Linked DNA regions of Zea mays. The main gene of each other region encodes a partner of the protein of the gene in region 4 in a complex. Links are inferred from orthologs where the notes say so. Each region holds a gene or a part of one and is shown on either strand. Other genes may lie near its edges.

Region 1 (4,300 bases), on a different chromosome or scaffold from region 4:
TATTGCTTCATGTGCACAGGTTACTTCGCCTTTGTAATATGCCTTTGTAATATAGGAAATGATATATGTGGATATTTCTGAGGAAGTGAGGACGAGACCGAGAGTAGTGGGTCCAGAGCTGCAAACGAACACGGGCTGCCCGCACATACAAGCCCGTTCAGGGCTTGTTCGGTTACACCAATCCAGAGGGGGATTGGAGGGGATTAAATCCTCTCCTAGTCAAAAATGACTAGGAGGGGATTTAATCCCCTCCAATCCCCCTCTGGATTACTGTAACCGAACATGCCCTCATAGTTTTTCATCCAAAACTCTGACTGGTGAAGCGGAACAAGATCAGCATATGCTGATGCGCATTGACTTGCGTTGCAAGATTTGGTGACAACTGTATAATTTACAGGGGGAAAAACTGGCGTAAATAACAACATAGAGGGATAAACAGGCTCAATTCAACATGCAAGACGCAGTCAGCGTTCAGAGCATTTTGCAGGTTTTCATGCTAAAACTGTTACTCCGAATTTCCTTCCTTAAAAACCTTTACCCACTTCTCAACACTGTCGATTACTTCACCGGTCTTGACCAGGTATCGGACCTTGGTCCCGTCCTCCAGGAATTTGTGGCCAACCCTGCTTACCACACTCTTCTCCTTAGAGTAGAGCATCACATTTGAGCTATGAATGGGGCCTTCAATCTGATCAAAGAAAATTTAAGTCTGATCAAGAGAACGATTAGGCACCTACTAAAACTACAGATATGCTCTTGAAACCAATATGTGCAAAGCATCATGAGAGGCCCAAAAAACAAGTTCAATAGAAATTTTGCTGACCATGACGATTTCACCGGGTTCATCGTCTGTGCCTTTCTTGTGCTTCGACTTCAAGTTCAGGTCCTTCACGATCACCGTGCTGTTGTGCTTGAAAAGGCGTGTGACTTCTCCAACCTTTCCTTTCTCACGGCCTGCAATAACCTGTACCGTGTCCCCGATCCTAACATGCATCTTGTGCAGCACAGGAAGACTGTTTGGTTTACACTTCTTTCGCTCCCATCTCTTAAGCTGCAGTGGAAAGTGAAGTTTTAGGACATTTCACATTATTGGATAAAAAAGGTATCAAATATTTGGACTAAAGATTTTTTTTACTCACTCTCATTTCAATTGGGCATATCTTGACCATAAACCTTACCTGCATATTGAACATATTAAACAGCTTGTCAGAACTTCACATCCTAAAGACATAAGATTCCATTTCAAATCAAAGAGACACTAATCAGATGCTTCTGAGATATGGCATGACTCAAACACAGTGGTTACGATTCATGTTGATCTGATCAAGACACTACAGGATCCAGGGCTCCTCTTTATGTTTGAGTAATACGATATCCCTTAAAATACAGTGGTTCTATCACTTCCTTCAACAGTGATTACTTGACCTCACTATCTATTCTTTACTTGCTTTTGCTTCTTAACAGAAAGGTTTATCCTCATCCGATTCTTATCAGTTGGGAATTTTCCAGGCACAAGTACATACAGGTAAGGCATAATAAAGATGACACAGAAAAGAAAGCAGGGTTCAAATACAAACATCATTATGCTCATAATACACTATTTGGCGCCAAATTTTGTTTCCAGTTAGTCATATGTATTGTGTGATGTGGGGTAATTCAGGCATAAATATATATAAACAAAATCAGTGGCACATTGAGGGCAACATAATTTCTTCAGTTGACATTTTGACCGCTTCAAAAGCAACATAATTTCCTCAGTTAACAAACTAAATAAAGAGTACTCGAACAAATTTTACCACATGAAACACAGCATACTCTCTATTAGCACTAAAAGGCAAACATGTGCATAGTTGTATATGCAAAAAGGACAATACCGGATTACCAATGACAAAGGAAATTCTCTTACTTAAATTAATCCCAATCAGTTAATCTATTTGGCGCACTCAAATCTTACCATTTAAGCTTCCATGCAAGATAAAAATAAAAAAAGAAGGTAGACGAAATTCAATATGGACACGGTCTAAATTTAGTGTGTGTCGTGGAGCAAATAGAAACTTAATGTAATATGAAATCTAATAAGGGCGAGTTTGGCATAGTTCTACTCCAAAACTTTGGGTGAAGTATATCTGCTCCGAAGTGTAGATTGCTTTCTCATAACCAGTGCATTGGATGTGTCTTGATTGTTTTTGAAGGATTTTTCAAAGTAGCAAAAAATGTACTCCAAAAAATTATACTACAACTCTCAAAACTCTATAGAGTTTGCAACTCTAGAATTAGGGTGTTTAGTTGACTTTGTCCAGGTCTTCCTTAAAGTTTTGCTCTAGAGTGATGTCAAACACCCCTAAACATAGTCATATTAGAAGCCTGGTTTGTCATCCTTGAAAATGCACAATTAATAACAATGCAAAGGTAATTTTCCATTTCATTGCATCCAATCCATACAGACTAGCTCCAAAACCGTAATGCAAGCTCGAATGTCCCTAGAACAATTCCATCCGACCGCGCTTTGCAACGCTATCCAGAAACTCCAGAGTAAAATCTTTCACCAGAACAGCTACTTATTATCTACCAAACCATCAGCAGAACGGAACGGAATTGGGAAGCAGGAACAGACCCCAGGCTGCGGCGCGGAGTAGGTGGCGAGCCGGTTGCCCCAGAAGCTGCTGCTGCTCGCCGTCGCCGCGCCTAGCGCGGAGATGGAGAGCGACGCCATGGCGCCCTGCAGCGATGCCATCCCAGCCATCCTCTCGCCGCTCTCCCTCTCTCACTGGACTTGCTCAGCGCCCAAACTGCTCAAAGGATAACGCACGCGGCTTCTTCGAGTTGCCCGGAACCGGAAGAGAGAGGATAACGCGCTCTTGTATTCTGACGCTGGTGGGTTGGGCCTCGTCACTAAATGAGACAGGCCTCAGGTGAGGCACAGATGGGCCTGGAAGACGCTTAGGTGATCCAGTGAGGCCCATGGGTGCTCGTTCTACCGCCGTGAGAGGCTACAGGCTAGGGCCTCGGCTCCACGAGCGAGCTCCGCACGCATCAGCTGATCAGCATCACTGCATCAGCTATCAGGACGACAGGACGAGGACGGCGGGGTCAAGGCTCTCTTTCTCTCTCCCTCCCTCTCTGCGTGTCTCCTCGCACGCTACGCGAGGCCACGCGAGATTGCTTGGGAGATGCGTGCCCGCCTCCAGATTCCCCGTTCCAGCGCCGAGGCGCGCAAGCTACGCGACGGTTGCTGAGGCAAGCGAACCCCCTACTCCAGTTTTTCACTTTGCTGTTGTGTAAAATAAAATTCGCGTTACAGAGACAGAGACAGTTTGGGCGATGGAGGGTAGGTGGATGGCGGTGACATCGAAGCTTTGCGCTTTTGCTGCTGCAGGTCCCATCCTGCACCGAGAAAGGGTGGGATGTCAATCGGATTTCTCTATTGCAAATCATGGTTGCAAGTTAGACGTGTTTACCTCAGATCTTTTTCTCCAGAGACATTGGGTATCTCTTTTCTCATAGTGGACTACATTTCTCCCCCTCGAAGTCAATATCTCTTTCTTCGACTTTTCATTGCTGGCAGTTCTGCGCATGTCCTAAATCCTTGAATCATAGTAGGACATCCATGACAGATCACATAAACAACACGGCCAATACATCACTGGGCAGTTGGGCCTCGGCTCCTATCGCCGTCATCTAACTACCATCTAGGGAATCAGGAATGGTCCTGCCGTGCAAGCAAACCTTTAACGTTCCCCATGGGATAAGCATGTGACTATGCAAATGCCCGACACAAATTATATCTTATTATGGTTAAGAATCTTGTGTTTATTTTTCTCTTTCTCCTTTTCTATTCGCCACATGTGTTGAGATAACTATGCAAATCGTGACATGAAGTTTTGTTTCTATGTGGCGCTACCAAACAAAATGGATAAGGAAATGTGTGGCTTTTTTCCATGATAATTGCGACAGTTTCATTTCGTAGCTATCTGTTCCTCGTGGCCATAGTAATGCTTTGCACTTTGTTAATTTTGTAAGAAAAGAAATGGCATGATCTAATAATAAGGCCTTCTCTCTATGTGGCTAACTGGCAAGGGCTTAGCAATCCTCCCCCTTTCTAACTATAACCTTTTAAGGCATGGATGCTGGAGTGCTGGGCAAAACTCAATCTGTCTGGGCAAAGCTCTACTTGCTTGCGACACTCCAGATGTGGACCATTTTTTTTCACAGGTTTCGGAGCTAGACATGTCAAGTAGTTTCCTTCGGTTGTTGATTAATTTGCCCACTGTGATAGAGATTTTGCACCTTGTGGCCTCCA
Region 2 (3,427 bases), on a different chromosome or scaffold from region 4:
TATGACATTGCATAACTTCATTAGAGACAGTGCTCTACACGATAGAGACTTTGATGAACTAGGACCTAATAGCCTTGGTCATGATGTATCTGTAGGTGAGAGTAGTAGTATCACATCTGATGAGTTAGACATGAGTGCATTTCGAGATGCAATTGCTAATGCATTAGTGCCGTAGTTAAATATGTAAATGTAACAGTAGTTATGTTGTAATGAACTCCACTAATTATATGTAATGACCTTTTGTTGGTTCGGTGTTAATGTGTATAGTTTCTTCAAACAGAATCTGCAATCTGAGAATCTGTGTATCCAAACACCTAGATTCTAACGAACAGCTTTTCCGCACAGCTGGCGAACCAAACACCTAAATTCTAACCACCAGCTTTTCAGAAAAGCTATTCAGAAAAAAGCCGAACCAAACACGCCCTACGTGGAGTGGTCTAGGAAGTTGGAATAGACCCCCACTGTGACTCTAAAGCACAACTACCCCACAAAAAGTACAAGTAGAACATATCCATTTATCTAAACAACACATGTAAATATGACCTTTATAGATCATGTGGTCTTACAATTAAGGAAGAAAAAGTGTAACAAGGGCTGTGAAAAAGAGAAACACCACACAGGAAACTTATCAGCAGTCCGCGCTGACCTCAGAGTTTTCATCAACAGCAGCTAGTACCAACTGAGGCTCAGCGGCGCCCTCCGCTCTCGCCTTCTTCCGTTCACGCCGCATGCGGAAGTACTCTCTCTTCCTTGCTCTGTAACTGTTTGGGTTTTCAGGCTCCTTCTCATATGGGTAAACACTAACCTATGAAAGGAGAGGTAGTGAGATGAGCATATATCTGGTGTGCAACCAGATCTCAGTCAGATGCAAGTAAAAGCAGATTTCAGTATGTAGTAACTAAGATACAGCTAACCTTTTTCTTGTCCGGCCCATACTTCTCAAACTTGACGAGTCCATCTATCAAAGAAAAGAGTGTGTGATCCTTGCCCATTCCAACGTTATTTCCAGGATAGACCTGAAATGTCCAAAAGATTTTATTTTAAGAAAAAACTTAAAAACGGCAAGGAACAGACAGACCACAAAACGGGGACCAAAACGAACTCTATACAAGGGACACGATGGTATAAACCATGTAGTATCCATAATATATAAACATCTTAAATATTTGAAGCGCGCTGGTAAGTAGGACGGACCAACCAAATCGTAAGACATGTAAGTTCATGAAATATCTTTTACAAGGATTGACCGACCATCTTACAGTATGCCTAATATTGAACAGCTATGTCTGACCATGTGTGCAGAGTAAGGTGGGTGTTTAGTTCAAAATTTGTTGGATTATATAACCTGGGCAGATTATAATCCCAAACAAACACCCCCCTAAGTCACCACCAGTTGGCTCCATAGGGCATTGAGGTTAGTACGTTACATTCCCCAGCGAGGTTTGTGTGTGCACTTTCCCCTCCCGTTATCTGATGTATGCAAGAAACTGCAATCTTTTCTTTCCTGCTTTTGCAGAGTGGTAAACTATGGAAAATGCAGATATGCACAATGGCAGCATACATTCCAACGTAACATGTGCAATGGCAAGCATTCTAGGTACATCGTAAGATTCTAGCATTCGCAGTCCGTAATCCGTATGAAGGTACTGGTCGGTGGTTAATATGCTTAACCTGCATCAGCAGCAGCAGCAGCAGGTGAGCAGCAAGCAAACGCTAGGCAGAGAGAGCTATGTCGCCCAGCAGAGCCAGTCAACGAGGTACCATAATCCACGCAAGCAAGAGCCTAGGCTGTCTTACTAACCCAAAGCAAACCAGTAACAGGTAAGGGAAGCGAAGGGAGCAAGAGGGGGGCAGGACCCTGGTGCCGCGCTGGCGGATGATGATGGCCCCGGGCTTGGCGAGCTGGTCGCCGTATATCTTGACCCCGAGGCGCTGGCCCTTGGAGTCGCGGCCGTTCTTGGTGCTCCCGGCCCCCTTCTTGTGCGCCATCTGGATGGTGAGCCGCCGCGCCGGCACCGGCACCGGCACGCCCGCTGCGCCGCCGACGGAGAGCGAGGCGCGGTCGCAGCGCGGGAAGGAGGAGGTGGTGGTGGTGGGCGCCAGGGAGAGGCCCTTGAAGGCCCCCGCCAGGGCGAACGCCATGGAGGCCATGGGCCGCTGGAGCGGAGGGAGGCAACGTGGCAGCTTGGGAAGAAGACGGGGGAAGAGAGCAGATGAGGCGGTGAGGTACAGAGGTGTGGGCGCTGGTGATAACGGAGTGGAGAAGGGATGCAGTCGGGAGACGTGGGCTCGTTCGTGGTTGGCCCAGTGTTTTGGGTCCTGGAGTTTTTGGGCCTTACTTGCAGATGGGCCTCGTGGTGCTTGCAGAGTGTCTGGCCGAATTGGAAGGGAGGGAAATGGTGTTATGCTCCTGGCCGGTTTTGGTCCTTGTAGTTTTAGGCAAGGCAACACAGGATTCACGAAGGAATCATTCAGGGGGAAAACAAAATGATCAGTGTGGTGGTGTTTGGTTCATGATATGTAACGTAAGTGGTAACGATAATGATTCACATTCAAGTACCAACGATAATAAGTCTGAATAGGCTCAGTTAGAGTTAAACAAACATGATATGTGAACCAAAAGGGCATCATCTTGTTCCTCCCTCCGGAGCTGCACAGAGAGACGCTGAATGGCCACAGCTAGCTAGCGTCGGCACGTGGGGAGATAGCCGGGGAAGCTAGCTAGAGTGACAGGCAGGCTTGTTGTGGAGCAAGAGCAAGAGCAAGAGAAGCAGTAGGCATGATGATGGGCTTGACCGGCGGCAACGGCAAAGCTGGAGCCGGAAGAAGAGGAGACGACCGACACATGGCATGATTAGGATCCTTGACGAAAGCGCGGGAGATGCAGAGCGTTTGGGGGTCCAAGTTAATCATGGCCCAGACCAGACCACACAAGCAAACAGGGCCCTACCACCACCACCACCACCCACTAATAATCTCGTGTTCTCCAGAGTCCAGACGCTCCATCCGCTCACTCGCTGCAGTTTGCACTGTTTACTCCTCCGTCTCCGTGTGCGTTAGATTTCCGGCGGCACTAGGGATGCCAGAAATTTCAAAGAGGCAGCAGCGCACGGCGCTCACAGGCTGCTGCTACTACTTGTACTAGCAGCAGTCACCGCACCGCACGCACCGTCAGCAGGGGGACGGAGAGATGACATTGACCGCCGGCGATCATTGCCTCGTCTGACGATTCGCCGGCGACACCCACACCCGCACCCCACCCCGGCCGGACCCGACCGACACAACGCATTTCCTCTATCTTTTTCCCACTCTTGTTTATTTGTGACAAATTATAGCGTGCTTGCGGTTGTAAAATGTTAGTCCATATCGATCTTTGCCACTGCACGGTGAATAGTTTGGAACTGAAAAGGACACGAAAAGGCCAAGC
Region 3 (4,249 bases), on a different chromosome or scaffold from region 4:
GGCGTAAGCGGAAAGGCTATTTCTAGCTCTGTGCAATGCCCCCTTGCCTGCAATGCTGGCTGTTCAGTTATGATGCTAGTTCATTTAGCAGAAGCAGAAGGATTTTTGTAAAGGGTGAAGCGAGGAGTTGTACTGGTATTCGGGAGTCATTGCATTTTTAGACAACGATGTGAAACTGTCATTTTTGTAGAACGTGGATGTTGAGATGAATACAGTTGGTTTGCGTGAATCTGTATCAGATCGCTGGTGACGCCCAGACTTTGGCTAAAAGAAACGCAGTTCATGTGTCAAGTACGTTGGTGTTCCAATCTGAATAACGCTCTATGGAGCCCCATACTTAGCAAATTTCTTGCCTTTTTTTTGTAGTGGATGCAGACGTAGAGGTGGGGAAGGTTAGAGGACAAGAAAGAAGGGTCGTTTTTGGCGAAGTAGTGCTCTACAGTTCAAACAAATTGTTCTTTACAACAATTTATATTTTCCGCCTCAAAATCAACAGATATAATTGTTGAAAACTTGACTTCACACGGTAGGGAATAGGATGCGCAGTGAGCCAGTGAATTGTGTATCAAAACCAGGCAAGTCACGGCCAGACCAGGCCTCATGTCTACCGCAGCACCTGGCACTTGCAGCAAAATCTCTGCACTAAACAAAAGCAACTGTGTAAGAGCAAGACCAGCGGAATTCTAAGAGCCAAATCTCAAGGAAAGAACAACGGCAAATGAGCTCGCCTGGCAAACATCAGGCTTCTCCAAAGTCCATTACTCGAGGTTCTGTAACTGCTGAGCTCATTTCGCATAGACATTCAGCCTTACTCGCGCTGTCACGTCTGGGTGAAGCTTGATCTCTGCAACATACTCTCCGATTTCACGGATTTCTGGAACCGTCACCAGCTTCTTGTCGACATCCCTACAAGACACAGCGTGCCAGCAGTAAGAGAAGCAATATAATGATGAGAAACGCTATTAAGATTGCCTAGGAGTTAGGAGCATATGCACTTGCCTATTAAGTTGTGACTTTATTATGTCAACAACATCCTGTGCCGTGACACTGTACAATAAAAGATATCGTCAGAAAAGTGAAAGTAAGACTATACCCAGCAGATAGTGACACTATAGATTGCAGTGTGTACAAAGTAGAGTTTGAAATGAGAGATGGAGATGGGTAAGCTGTAAGAGATAGCCTGAGACAAGAGAGAATAAATAATGGATTGTCCAACTTAGAACTTGCCTCCCAAAGATCTGTTTTCCTTTTCCACCTTTGCGAGGGAGTTTGAAAGCGCCAATGGTTTCAAAAACTCGAGCAAGTTGTTGCGCGTCTTCTTTTACCTATGTAAATAGAGGACTTCTTAAGGCCATAATTATAAACAAAAACTGATAAAAATGCATTGATAGAATTTCATGAACATATCATGCTTAGGACTTAAATTACGGAGGACATAAAGGCACTATATTTTCTTTTCATAAGGAAAGTAAGGATAAACTGCAATTGAAGTTTACTCTCCAGACAAAGAAAAAGGTCGCTGAGGTTAAATTGCAACTACATTTATTACTGAGTAAAATATTTTTTCCTACCCGCTTCTTCTCAGCTTCTATTCTCTCCTGCTCCAGCTGCATTTCCCTGCGAAGAGAAGTAGAGGCAATAAATTCATTCGCAATCTTACTTACCCATCGAATCAAACAGTATGTGTGTCGACCATTGCAATTCTATTAGAAAGGTGCATGGATTGGATTCATATCTCAATCTAGTTTTGCTAGGTGCCTAGGTCCCAAACCTCAGAGTCAAACTAAGCATACCACAGAGAAGGTCATACGGTTGCCAGCAGCCACTGAATCATTTGACAGAGTGTGGACTTTGCAATTACTTGAGGATTAAATGACATAACTAACAAAGCAAAGCAAGTGAGGGATAACCGAGAGCTGGTAGCAATTACTTGAGGACTTCTGGGGTCAGAAGTGTAGCCTTGCCCTTGGGAAGGAGGAAGTTGCGGTAGAATCCAGCTCGCACCTTCAGTGTATCCCCTTTCTTCCCCACCTCTTCTATGTCGTCTGTCAATATGACCTATGGGAAAGAATTGTTTTTTTTATGGAGAAAGGTAAAATCACATGTAATGCTAAGGGTGGCGGTAATAGCTACACAAGATAAGCACCACATTGTCAATTTAACTGGATGCACCGTTGTTGCATTCTTGTACAATCAGGCAAACACAGCAAAAGGAACGACTTATGAACTGAACTCCAACTAGTGAGGCAAGGCTCCCATCAAAGGTATTTCATCCCTAGTATCTAAATCCCCTGCCTAAAAGCCTGGTTAGTAGTAGTAGTAGTACAACTCTTGGAGCATCTAAATTGTGCGAGCCACTATATCTTACCTGTTGCCAGTGAGACAGCTAAGCTAGCTAACTTCATTTGTATCTATTGATCACAATATACAAACGTACCGACGGCGGTGCATCAATTTTTTTAGAGAAGAAAACTAAAACGCGGCAGGTTATGATGCCCTCAGCAACCCGCGTGCATTAACTGATTGCTAAGATGAAATCAGCACAGAACTCGAACATAAGAACACGCGGAAAGCCCGGGCCGACCTGGCGGTACTTCTTGACCTTCCCCTGGGCGACGATGACCAGCGACGGAGCCCGGCGAGAGGCCGTGAGGCAGCGCCCCGCCGAGGGCCGCGGGTAGGAGGCGGGGGTCCAGGGCAGCGTGGAGGCGCACGACAGCGACGCCATTGCTCTCGCGCTTCGCTACTCAAGCAAGTGGCGCTTCGGTCGCCTCCTCCGCTCGCACCGCTTTCCTTTCTTATCCATCCACTGACTTCGCGAGAGGCCTAAATAATGGTTTGGGCCCGGAAATGAGAAAGCGGCGGCGGCGGCCCAATCGATCTGGAATGGATAATGTCACGGCTCCGTAGAGCCCGTTTCACAGCTTCTCTCGCCTGTCGCGCTGCGTCCATGGCGGGAGCCTGCGCGGTCGCCGTGCCCGGATCCAGCCGCGTGAACTGCCGGCGTGATAGCCCTTTCTCGAAACTGAGAATTCGATATCACCGAAACGTATTTCTAATAAATAGTTCCATCGCATCTTGTAAGTTGGATAAGTTTGCAATTCGATATCGGTGAATTTGATTAATCCAAAACCTCAAGTACAGTGTTTGTCTAGTCCCGGGGTTTGGGATCAGCATCCCACAGCTTCAGACTTCTACGCCGCTTGCCAGACTGAAAAGGACTCCAACTACATAAAAATAATTGCTTGGCAAGAATGACAAGGGACCAACGCCGCGACGATATTAGTTGACAACTTTCACTCCCTCGGTTGCCACTCAGCCTGAAAATCTTGCAGCTCTCCAATAAAACGAATATACGAGCTCGTGGGGACCCCCAATGAATCTAAGAACTTTGATTGGACTACAGCACCATGTAAGACAATCTTCTATCCTGCAGTAAATATTTACAGCCTACAGGTTGTCGTTCAGCCACTTCGCAGCGCCATTAACAATGGACCTGAAAGAATTCAACATCTAGGTCAGAATACAAGAGATAACCCAATCACAAAAATGTCTGATGAACTAAATCAATCAACATTTTTTCCTCTCGAACTCAGCCAACCTTTTATTTTTCTCGAACACAACTAACACAGTTAGGATGGCTCAAATTTCAACAGAGGTTATGCATCTGCATTCAAATCTCCCATTACTACAGTGTAATTTCCCCTTTTAAAGAATACTCGGAAATGTAATGCAGTGACCAAAAATATAGTTCATTACTACAAGATTAAGTTGGGTTGGTTCAGATTTCAATAAAAGAGGCATCTGCATTCAACTTCCCATTACTATTTACTACACTAGACCGGACGGGGCGCTCCGCTGCGCCAGTTTCGAAGTGCGTGAAAGAACAGGTAAAGTGATAAGTCGTTCAACAGCGATCGGTGAACAGTAATATTCAGAGATACATCAGCCAACACGCGTGAAGCCACGGCCGCAGGCTGGATAATTTAAAATGCAGGCGTGAAGAGAAAGGCGTTCAGATTTTAAGAAACTTAATTTGTAATTTTCCCTTTTAATAAAGGAGTACGTGAAAATGTAACGGCTGCCATAAACAACTAGGTAGTTTATACTTTATACCACCAGAAGTCCAGAACAGGGAAGTATAGTACAAAACCTATATGCTCAATGTAATGATTTTTTTTTCAGCGCGGTGTTACCTCATTACCCTTTAGTTAAGAAAAAGAGACAATACAAAACCTATTTTTCAGCA
Region 4 (4,239 bases):
CTCGTTTCAAGCTACTTAGCCGTTCTAACTTTAACAACTAAGTTTTGTGGCTATTAGTGTTGAATTTTACAGGATCACCTATTCACCCCTTTCTAGGTGCTCTCAATATTGCTACAGTTTTTGTATATCATATATGTTGCATTTCCTTAAATTATATATATATATATTCAAACATGATTATATTTTTTTTTTAAATTATAGTGTATAGATATATATAATCTCTCCTTTATGTACCACAAATGGATGTGTGCCATAGTGGTAGGAGCCCTGCCGCGTTGGACGGACACGGGCGCTCACGCGTAGAGGTGGTAATGGATCACGATCCAAATGCCTCTTCACAAAAGTTAAGGCCCTTAAATAATATTAGTTCAAAAATGAATAAGAATAGAGCCCGACCCTAATCCGATTCGATCCTTAAAATTTGCAGTATAAAGTTTATAGCCCATTACCACCCCTACTCACGCGTGAGAGACACATGGCGACGCACAAAGAAAATTCTATATTAAAAGTGTAGTGATATATGAGATAATTTTCTCTCTCTCCCTCTACATGGTGGCAGCAGGGGAAAAAGTTGGAGCTCCTGCACTTTCTAAAGTTCATTGTATGTATGTGGAGTGGTGTGCCATTGAAACAACCTAAAGTCTGATTACAAAGTGAGAAAACCACATGTTATGGTCACACTACCAATGTATTACAACATAGGCCTCAGAACTATAGGAGGAATTGACGGTGGAGGCACGAGTGAAGGGGAGAGGGCGACGGGGACGCGAGGGAGGGAGAGGTTGGAGGCGACAGATTGTGGGAAAGGGAAGGGTGACATGACAAATGATAGATGATCTAGATAATATTGTTCATCATTGAATTTGAGTAAGGGTGATAGAGTTATCCAGCTATCTGAATTTGTTTGGTGGATAATCTAAATAATATAGTAGTATAGATATAGAGTAGAGTCAAGGGCCACACACAAACAGTTCGCAGTCGCAGGCTGGCAGCCACAGCCACACATGCGTCCCTCGTCGCTGCCGCTCGAACCCACACGCGAACCGCGACCACACACCTGTCCGGCTGCCTCGCGCGCATCCGCATGGCTCTCGGTCCTCGGGGCTGAGCCAAATCAGGAGCTCCGAACACCTGCGCGCGTCTCGGCCCAGCCAACTCGCCGTGTTTCTCCTTACCCGTCGCCCGCGCGGACACGACACGATCGCACACTCGTACACCCGCTCGTCCCAACTCCCAACCAAGATCAGGCAGGTGACCGGGCGTCTCGGTTGAGCCAAAATCACTGGAATCAGGGGGGAGGAGTTTTCCAGGCGCGGCGCCCGTCATCCCTGCCCCTGCGAGGCTGCGACCGCGAGCCCGCCCACGACCAGCCCTATCCGATGAACACCCAGGCCGAGATCTTTCGGCTATAACCAACCCGCGCTGCCACTTCGGCTTCTCTTTCTATCCCTCCACTCCCTCTTATCTGCTGCGCCATCCTCCCCGGCCTCCACCATGGCCACAGCCGCCGCGGCCACCGCCTCCTCCTCCCTCCTCGCGCCGGCGGCCAGCAGCACGGCGCCGGCCTCGTCAAACGCGCTGCTGTTCCCCTCCTCCGTGCCGTCGCTGCGTGCGTACCCGCGGCTCCTCCTCGCGTTCCGCCGCCCCGCCGCGGCCGCCATCGCCGACCCGCAGGGGGCCGTGCTCGAAGAGGAGGCGGAGGTCGACCAGCAGGGCCAGTACGACGACGACGACGGGTATGAGGGCGGGCGCGGCCCCGCGTTCACGGCCCCCACGCGCCCGCGCACCGGCAAGGCCGCGCTACTGCTTAAGCGCGACCGCGTACGCATATCGCCGAATACCCCACCCTCCGTATATGGTTCCTGTGGCTTGCTTGCTTGTGTACGGCCGGTGATGCTGTGCTAGTTTTGATGGTGCGCAGACGAGGTCGAAGAGGTTCCTCGAGATACAGAAGCTGAGGGAGAGCAAGAAGGACTACGACGTGCCCACCGCCATCTCGTTGATGAAGCAGATGTCCAGTGCCAAGTTTGTTGAGTCAGCGGAGGCGCACTTCCGCATGAATCTCGACCCCAAGTACAATGACCAGCAGCTCCGGGCCACGGTATTGTTTCTTCTTTTCTGGCCTTCTCTTTTTGGTTGCTTGTGCCCTGTTGCGTTCGTTAATTTGTGCTGGTCGTGGTGACCACAGGTGAATTTGCCCAAGGGAACAGGCCAGTCGGTGAAGATTGCGGTTCTCACACAAGGTGGGCGGTGATTGAAACACAACGAAATCCTGTTGAGCGATAGTTAGTACAAACTGAATTCACTGTGCTAGTGGGTCATATGTGTGATTGTTCTGTTTGACACTATTGCCTTGCCTCATGTGTGACTATGGGTTTAATCTGAAACACGCTTGTCTTTATTTTTATGCAAACATTGTGTGCTGATGACCCGATTGGTTAATTTTGTATTTTTTTTCTTCTTAAAGTACCATGGCTTCTTTCAGAGTTCAAATGCAACATATTGGATTGGACAAAGTTAATTCATCTTTGGCATCTTGGTAGAAGAATTTAACAATCAGTTTATTATGTTCATGATGTTTCTACTTCTTTGTTTTTTACAAGAAGTCACTTGGGAGTTGGGATGGTGCTATTTTTGTGCTGTCCACTTAGCAAACCCTTGTTGAATGACTGAAACTTCTCTTTCATATCCTTTGTGAAAGATAGTCATGTTTTTCTTGTCATTATCATAAAGATGGTAGCACCAGTAGTTGAAATAATCATGGTCATTATATGCATTAATAGTTATTTTCTGACCTCACAGGTGAGAAGATAGATGAAGCTAGAGCTGCCGGAGCTGATATCGTAGGTGGAGAAGATTTGATTGAACAAATAAAAGGAGGATTTATGGAGTTTGACAAATTGATTGCATCACCTGATATGATGCCTAAGGTATGAGCTATTAACAGTTCTGCCTTCATTTCAATTTACTGTTGGATACTACCACAAAATTTGAAATGAAATATTTAGTTGTGCTTACTATAGGTCCTAAGTGTCTTACCATGTAAACTGTTAATTTTTTTGTTTTCTATAGATAAAATAGATTGGCTATGCCAATCTAATTTCGGAATACAAGAATACATGTGTGAGATGTTTCATTCTTTGATAACTAATGCTAAACTAAATGTCCAAAGTTCTGTATATATTTGTTGCATTATTTGACATGTTCGTAGAAACTTTCAATGTGGGCTCCCCTTTAAATGATTATCAGCCTGAGTTATTTCTGTTTACTTTTCAGGTTGCGGGCTTAGGTAAGATTCTAGGACCAAGAGGACTGATGCCTAACCCCAAAGCTGGCACTGTTTCTTCAAATATTACTCAGGTATTGAGGAAGTCAATACAGATTTTGTTTGCCTCAGTTTTTTTATCGATATTCTAAATCGTTTGTCTTCATTGCTTAGTCTGGGCACTGTGACAAGATTTAAAACTTCATGCCCTTGTAGTATTTACTGACTTCTAGGATTCATGTACAAGTAACTTCCTACCTTTATCAGTTGCATTTACTTTCCTGTACTCCGATAATTCAAGGTTCAGGCATGGTGTTTTTATTGAACACATGTTTGTAATTTAATTGTGCATAGCAAGAGTTCAGGAAGTTGAAATAGTTGGTTTTACTGATCGCCGAGGAAACTAGATGAGACACATGTTGGAAGATATGAAGCGTTATCAGTGGTAATAATATGAGTAAACTACACTGGCGGTCCCTAAACTATTATGTAATTCTCATTTGGGTCCCAAGCTATGAAATTGCATATCTAGGTCCCTAAACTATATAAGTATCATATCTTGATCCAAAATAACCACATCACAGTCCATCAACTGACGTGGCACTCCAGCGTGAAGCTGACATATGGGTCCATAGTTCATAGTTACAAGGGCTGTCTAAACTATCATAGGATTCTCAGCTAGGTCCCAAACTATAAAACTACTCATCTAGGTCCCTAACCTATTAAAGTACTACAATCCTAATCCAAATTTTATAGTTTGAGACTTTTGTAAGAATCCAATGATAGTTTAGGTATCATCCTTGTAATTATGAGTTATGGACATGCATGTCGGTTCCACGCTAGAGTGCAATGTTAGCTAATGAACTGTGATGTGACTGTTTTGCACCGGGATGGGATACTTAAATAGTTTAGGGACCTAGATATGCAATTTCATAGTTTGGGGATCTAAATGAGAATCGTGCGGTAGGTTAGGG
Region 5 (3,550 bases), on a different chromosome or scaffold from region 4:
ATAGAGGTCGATGCTTGTGTTGTGTCATTGTTTCGGGAGATGAAATAGAATGTACAAGGGAAATGTATTACTTGCAGAGCATCTCATTTCACCAATCAAAGGTTGTGTAGAATTGTGCATAATCTGGTTTAAAATAGATGGTCGTACTATTAAGATAGTCAACATTGTTTCCATATCTGTCATCTAGAGCCACTTGAGTGATCTAACTTTGCATATGTTGCTAGGATCAAGTGGTGGATAAAGTTTGAGATAAAAAACCTTTGAAAATGCTAACTAAGTCTTAAAGGTGTTGATCATCACGTGGGAAATCATTTGGAGTTAACTTTCTTTGTAAAAAAAGGTTTTCGATATTCTCCTAACCAAGGGTTGTGTCTTTGGATTTGAATTCTGGATTAGTCCATTTTGTTCTGAATCAATTATTAAAGTGGCTATCGTAGCCCTTTAAATAAAATTTCCGAAATGTCTAATATCATCGAAGTCAGAGTTTGGATGAAGAAGTTATGAACATTTTTAGTTGAGCCGGTGTGTCTTGCTCAGTAATAAGCATATGCTAAAAGCAAGAGAAGAGTACATCGCAAAGAAATTCTATGCAGAGCCGCTATCAGATTCACCAGCACCAGCTTTTTTCTTGGCAAAGTACTCTTCTGCTCGGGCTTGGTTCTTTAGATAATTTTGTGGAAGCCATTTCTTTCGTTTAGGTAACAGAGTTAGGGAACAACCAGCTGCCTCAAGCTTCTCTTTAGCTGAAGCTGAAAACGCTCCAGCCTTGATATTCAACTTAACTGATACATCCCCATCTCCTAAGATCTACAAACAGGTGAACAACAAGTGATCATGAAGGTAAGACAAAATATGATTGCAAAAACTAACAGGTGGCACATGCCACTTCATGTTTATGTTAGCAGATATGGAAGTTTGTAGTTACTCTAGAATATATTGTAAATCCAATGAACAACCTATGGGAACATTGCCAAATTGTACAAACAAAGCTATTCAACACTTCAAGTGGTGCTCATCTAACAGAAACAACCAAAAAAACTCGATCCCGTATTGCATGTTCTAATAGATGACTCTAACTCAAGTGGATAAACTTGGTACCTAACATTATCACAGGCTAATTCAGAATCGATACAACAACCTATAAGAAGTAAAAAAGTAAGAATACTGGCCACTCAATCTAACGACAAATCACTAAACACTTCGATTCTTGCTTCAAATCTGGGGTACAATAAGGTTGCCTTAAAGAGAACATGTCCTCACTGGCCAAGACCTAAGCCAAACCCTTGAATATGAAGTCATTCATATTTTCGAACGTGTCAAGTTCTATGTCACAAATACCAGTCCACAAAACAAGTTTTATTGAAACAACCAAAGGTTAATCATCAAAAGATTTACCTTCAGCGGCAGCTTCCTTTCCCTGCCTGATGGATTGATCAGACCCCGTGATTTCAGGCTTTCCAGTGATATTTCGTCACCATCTTTGAATCCGCCGCGCACTATGTCTTTTAAATTGAATGGCACATACTTCGGCAGGCCAATGTGCATCCCTGAAAAGCCATGGTGGAACTCACATCAGGCAACTTCTCAATCACTTGCATTTCTGCATTCCTTGTAACCTTGATGGGCTCTCACGAGTAACAACACAATGCATAGTTCAATTAGTTATGCGCCAGCCTGGTGTGAATTTAATCACGGATGGGCAATGCCGAAGTGGGGGTGTGAGACAAGCATCTGTCTGAACTAGAGCTTAGCGAGTTGCTTCGATTGAGTGCATTAGGGGAAGCTTCGGTTTAACTGAAGCAACTCACCGCCGGCAATGCCCCGTAGCTTGGGGAGACGGCGGTAGAGCGGCATCTGCCCTCCCTCGAACCCGCGCCGGACGCCGGGCCCCGAGCGCGATTTCTGCCCGCGCATACCGAACCCGCAGCTCGCGCCCTGGCCTGCAGCAATACCGCGTCCCTTACGCTTGGGCCGCCGGCGGGACCCCTTCTGGGGCCCCAAATTGTCGAGCCGGAACTTCTCCACTGGCGCTGCGGCGTCCGAGGCCTCGGCTGCCGCCGCGGCGCTGCTGCAGACGACGGTGACGCGACGGGGCGGGAGCGCGCGGAGCGGGAGGGCGCGGGGCGCGGCCCAGCGGCCGGCTAGGATTCCGGGACCAACGACGGAGGAGGAGGTGAAAGCCGGGATGTGGAGGAAGATGGCGGTGGGAGCGAGGGAGAGGAGGGTGATGGAAGCCATGACTGCCGTTGGAAGGGCTTGCGAATTGCGATTGTGGATAGAAGCGGATAATTGGGGTTTGGGAACGAGATAAGATGGAGACGATGGGCCTCTTCCACTCTTTATTTGGGCCTGTTTTTCAAACAGCCGTGGCCCATTCATGTCAATAATAATAATATACTCGAAAGTTGTATATAAAGAAGAAAAAATCGGTATTTTTCTGAATAGAAGATAGAACTATATCAAAACTTTGATACATTATATTCTCTAACGCTTAGACAAACATAGTTAGCAACTAAAATAATTGAGTAAGGGATAGAACCATACCTTTTTCACATCTTTTCAAAAAGATTTGCAATATGCACAAACTTAAGCAAAAAACTCTGTCCGGCAACCAAACACATCCTTAATTGCTAGAATGTGGGTAGAATAAGTTATTCAAGCAATGTTCAAAAAAGCGCGATTAAGCGCCCGCCTAATCACGATTAGACGCTAAGCGGCATGTTAGCGCTGCGCTTAGGCCCTAGGCGGTGGTTTCCGCGGTGGGCGCGTGTAGGCGGCGCGTGATTTGCGCTATGCGCGCTGAGGCGGAAAGGAGGCGTGTGGAAGCGGGGTTCGGCGCGCGGGGAAAAGGTGAGCACGGAAGCTGCTGCGCGGGAATAGAAAAAAGCTGCTGCGCGGGAATAGAAAGTGAATAGGAGGGAAAGAGGTGGGAGCTGCTGTTGCCCGGGAGAGAGTGAAACAGGCTGGGAGCTGCAGCTGCTGTTGCATGGAAGAGGAGGAAAACAGGGCCGCTGCCAGACTGGTCCTCTTCCCCAGCTGTCCAGGGCCGCCACCGTCGGTTCCTCTTCTCCTTCTGGTCAAGTCGTCCAGGCCACCGGGGTCAGCGCCTCTCTGCTCCTTTTCCCTAGCTATCCAGGCGTGCTCTCCCTCTCCCTCTGCTCTTGCTCTGCTCCTCCATCTCTTCTGTTCTATACTTTTATTCATTATTCCAGGTAAGTACCCCTAATTCCTAGCTAAAACTGTTTTTTCTGTGCAAATATATATATTATATTGTATATTCCTACAAACGCTTAAGCACGATTAATCTACGCCTAAGCTCTCTAGGCGCTAAACAGTGGCCTAACGCCCGCCTAACGCCTAGCGCTTATTGTAACCTTGTATTCAAGTACTTGATGCAGAATTTGAGGGGAGCACACATATCTTGTGTTATTTGAGACTAATGTTTTCTTTAGTGATCTTACATAATCTCAAGGTGGATAGGAGGATTGAGCAAGCTACAAGGGTGTAATTGAGACTTGTCACCTTCATGGTTCACAAAAATGGGTACCTT
Region 6 (2,686 bases), on a different chromosome or scaffold from region 4:
CTCGAACATTATCCAAAACGACAAATAATATAACACCGGAGGGAGTATCTATTTGCTTGTCGCTATCTATTCTTATTTCCGCCACATTTTCTATCAACGTAGGAAATAGAGTGAATCAGAGCTAGTGTATGATATTATCTTCAACGGTTTATTAATAACAAAATAAAATTACTTACTTTTCTTTTGTCTAGATTAAGCCAATAATATTATAGTCATTTTGTTTTATTTTATAGAAATTAGCTTGAATTATATGTTGGTGCTAATTGTTTGTAATGGCATGAGATTTTACAAATATTCTATTCCACCCATATGGCCGTATGTCACGACATGTTTTATATATCATGCAACACATGGACACTCAATTAGTTCAGTCGCATGGAAAAATTGGTTGTATAAAACTATGACTCGGAAATTGGATCACCTAGCAACAGGAGGCTAGTTTGATCAAACAGTATGCGGTATCAGGTTATCAGCAGACGACTCAAGCTGTAGTCAAGCATCAGCGTATACTCCTAGTGAGAAATATCCATTTCCTCGAACCAGGATCATTTGCTTGTTTGATCAATACCATCCTACCCTAGAGTGCATTGCAGAAAGCACATTGTATTTGGGGGCCCATGATCAACAAGACCCTATCTCGTGAAGTAGTAGTAATTGTACATTTTCCATTCCGAACATTAACCGAACACCTGGAGAGCAATGCGAACAGACAGAGTCTCGATTCCATTCAAGAGGGCAAATGTAAACTGGACCGGTGACCACGCACCGGGTGAGGAAGACGGGGAGCCATCAATCAGTTGTCCCCCTCGGGCTCGAACTCCGGGTCGCCGTCTGGGTGCATCTCCCTCCACTGGTCCTCGGGCCAGTACTCCTTGATGTGGCCCCACTTCTTGCGGAACTTCTCGATCTGGCTGTCCATGACCACGAGCGCCGAGGTGTCGCCGACATAGTAGGGGTGGTTTCCGGACCACACGTCCACCGTGTACTCCGGCTTGGTGCCCCCCGTCACCAGCACCAGCTCGCCGTTGCAGTACACCTTCGCGTCCTCGTAGATCTCCGGGTGCAACCCCTTCTTGCGCATCGAGCAGCGCATCCCCTGCACCGCGCCGTCCAGGTTCCGGACTCAGGAATTAGCGGCGGCGACGACGAAGATCCGTGCAGGAATGGCGAGAGGGAGGGCCGGTGTGTACGAACGTGCGTACCTGGGAGGGGACGACGGAGCGTAGGGTGCGGGCGGTGGTCCTCGCGGCGGCGGGGATGGGGAGGAAAGAGGTGGAGAGGGAGAGCGTCATGGCGGACGATGGCCTTGCCTCGCGACAGTCGCTTCGGCTGCCTATGTTCTTTCCTTCCTCTTATCTATCGCCTTGCTAATGTTATCCTCTGGCGCTCGTCGATTCTCTCTTTAGGTAGCGTTGTCTAGGCTTGTTTGGGCTCTATATGTTCATTAAAGTCTGTCTGTGGTTTGTTTTGGGCTACGTGGAAATGCGACGGCCCACGAAAAATCCAGTGCCCAATTTCTCCTTCAGTTATTTCCAGTTGGCGGCCAGCTATACTAAAGAGGTATAGCTATGCGGTTTTTTATTTATCGAAACATTTCGGATCAAAATTCTCTTTCATAGATGTAACGTCGAAGAAAGTACACCACCAGAAATGAAAGTGTTGGTAGATGGTTGGTTGAATTAGTGGGCCAAAAGAAGAGAAAGTTGCATGCCGTGTAGAGTCTGACTTAAATATAATTAAGGAATGATATGCAAACTACAATTACAGTTGTTACGGTTTTCTTAAGAGTATAAAATTAAATAATTTAGAGCAACTCTATTAGAGCAACTCTAGTAGTTCTCCAAAAGATTCCTTAAATCAATAAATAATTTAGGTAGCTAAACTAAAAACTCATCTCCAACAACTCTCTTAAATGAATTTTCTAAATTTAGCTACTTCTCATCTAATCTCAATTTCTCCCTACATTTAGCAACCATTTATCAACTTCCTAAACAAAAAACTGACGATAACTTTTGTATTTTGGTGTTTTTTCACTTTGTAGTAGAGATATATTAACAGAGCACATTCGTCGGACGCCGACGATGTAAAATTGTGGCAGGTAGTCAACTAGAGATTAACCAATTGCCAATGCAATAGCCGCACGTGCACATGTTAGAAATAAACGAATAAACAATTGTGATAGTAAATAAAAAAGCCAACATAACTCACCAATTAAATGTGTCATCACTAATGGTCCTACTCAAACTAGCGTCATGTTAATTAAAATTTAACATATTTAGAAAGTAATAGATAGAGAAATGTTGGATGAGATGATTTTTTCCCCTATATTATATGAGAACTTGCTATATCTAGGATTTAGGTATTATTATTATACATAACTATTGTAGTTGCTCTTACTAAATACTATACTCTTCTATCACCTTTTGGTATATCATTATTCGTACGTCATGCTGCCCTAAGTATTCATATATTTTAACTTTGGTTTGTTTGGCTATCTCTATTCATTATGCCTTGTTGATAATAGATCTAGCTAAGTATTCATATATTTTAACTTTGATAGGTGCAATTTTATATTTGTTATTTATCGATTAACTACATCTACAAAGATTTATTCCATGTTGTATGAGTATAACAATGTTTGTCGATCATAATTACGATGTTCTGCTGCAATTCATACTAAACTATG

Evidence for each region.
Region 1: 50S ribosomal protein L1, chloroplastic-like (region 4) and 50S ribosomal protein L24, chloroplastic-like share a complex: the UniProt entries of both Arabidopsis thaliana proteins name them as parts of the 50S ribosomal subunit. The link is inferred for Zea mays from reciprocal best matches to the Arabidopsis thaliana genes EMB3126 and RPL24.
Region 2: 50S ribosomal protein L1, chloroplastic-like (region 4) and 50S ribosomal protein L27, chloroplastic share a complex: the UniProt entries of both Arabidopsis thaliana proteins name them as parts of the 50S ribosomal subunit. The link is inferred for Zea mays from reciprocal best matches to the Arabidopsis thaliana genes EMB3126 and RPL27.
Region 3: 50S ribosomal protein L1, chloroplastic-like (region 4) and 50S ribosomal protein L9 share a complex: the UniProt entries of both Arabidopsis thaliana proteins name them as parts of the 50S ribosomal subunit. The link is inferred for Zea mays from reciprocal best matches to the Arabidopsis thaliana genes EMB3126 and RPL9.
Region 5: 50S ribosomal protein L1, chloroplastic-like (region 4) and 50S ribosomal protein L15, chloroplastic-like precursor share a complex: the UniProt entries of both Arabidopsis thaliana proteins name them as parts of the 50S ribosomal subunit. The link is inferred for Zea mays from reciprocal best matches to the Arabidopsis thaliana genes EMB3126 and RPL15.
Region 6: 50S ribosomal protein L1, chloroplastic-like (region 4) and 50S ribosomal protein L31-like share a complex: the UniProt entries of both Arabidopsis thaliana proteins name them as parts of the 50S ribosomal subunit. The link is inferred for Zea mays from reciprocal best matches to the Arabidopsis thaliana genes EMB3126 and emb2184.

Annotation. Positions count from the first base shown.
Region 1 is NC_050100.1:50,135,649-50,139,948, forward strand, and holds 50S ribosomal protein L24, chloroplastic-like, read right to left. Parts: upstream 2,801-4,300; 5' UTR 2,744-2,800; coding exon 2,615-2,743; intron 1,179-2,614; coding exon 1,140-1,178; intron 1,052-1,139; coding exon 824-1,051; intron 689-823; coding exon 506-688; 3' UTR 320-505; downstream 1-319. UniProt on the Arabidopsis thaliana protein: One of two assembly initiator proteins, it binds directly to the 5'-end of the 23S rRNA, where it nucleates assembly of the 50S subunit. Required for optimal plastid performance in terms of photosynthesis and growth.
Region 2 is NC_050103.1:167,360,501-167,363,927, forward strand, and holds 50S ribosomal protein L27, chloroplastic, read right to left. Parts: upstream 2,214-3,427; 5' UTR 2,152-2,213; coding exon 1,858-2,151; intron 1,017-1,857; coding exon 915-1,016; intron 806-914; coding exon 629-805; 3' UTR 501-628; downstream 1-500.
Region 3 is NC_050100.1:222,785,531-222,789,779, forward strand, and holds 50S ribosomal protein L9, read right to left. Parts: upstream 2,801-4,249; 5' UTR 2,729-2,800; coding exon 2,585-2,728; intron 2,059-2,584; coding exon 1,931-2,058; intron 1,618-1,930; coding exon 1,572-1,617; intron 1,326-1,571; coding exon 1,228-1,325; intron 1,048-1,227; coding exon 1,000-1,047; intron 907-999; coding exon 786-906; 3' UTR 729-785; intron 643-728; 3' UTR 418-642; downstream 1-417. Other genes in the region: methyltransferase WBSCR22, read left to right, coding at 1-26; Chaperone protein dnaJ A7A, chloroplastic, read right to left, coding at 3,451-3,496. UniProt on the Arabidopsis thaliana protein: Binds to the 23S rRNA.
Region 4 is NC_050101.1:154,265,028-154,269,266, forward strand, and holds the start of 50S ribosomal protein L1, chloroplastic-like, read left to right. Parts: upstream 1-1,439; 5' UTR 1,440-1,494; coding exon 1,495-1,821; intron 1,822-1,921; coding exon 1,922-2,101; intron 2,102-2,188; coding exon 2,189-2,243; intron 2,244-2,802; coding exon 2,803-2,930; intron 2,931-3,276; coding exon 3,277-3,360; intron 3,361-4,239. UniProt on the Arabidopsis thaliana protein: This protein binds directly to 23S ribosomal RNA.
Region 5 is NC_050096.1:27,447,188-27,450,737, reverse strand, and holds 50S ribosomal protein L15, chloroplastic-like precursor, read right to left. Parts: upstream 2,240-3,550; 5' UTR 2,239-2,239; coding exon 1,809-2,238; intron 1,548-1,808; coding exon 1,396-1,547; intron 808-1,395; coding exon 586-807; 3' UTR 501-585; downstream 1-500.
Region 6 is NC_050098.1:221,940,097-221,942,782, reverse strand, and holds 50S ribosomal protein L31-like, read right to left. Parts: upstream 1,351-2,686; 5' UTR 1,293-1,350; coding exon 1,203-1,292; intron 1,097-1,202; coding exon 794-1,096; 3' UTR 501-793; downstream 1-500. UniProt on the Arabidopsis thaliana protein: Binds the 23S rRNA.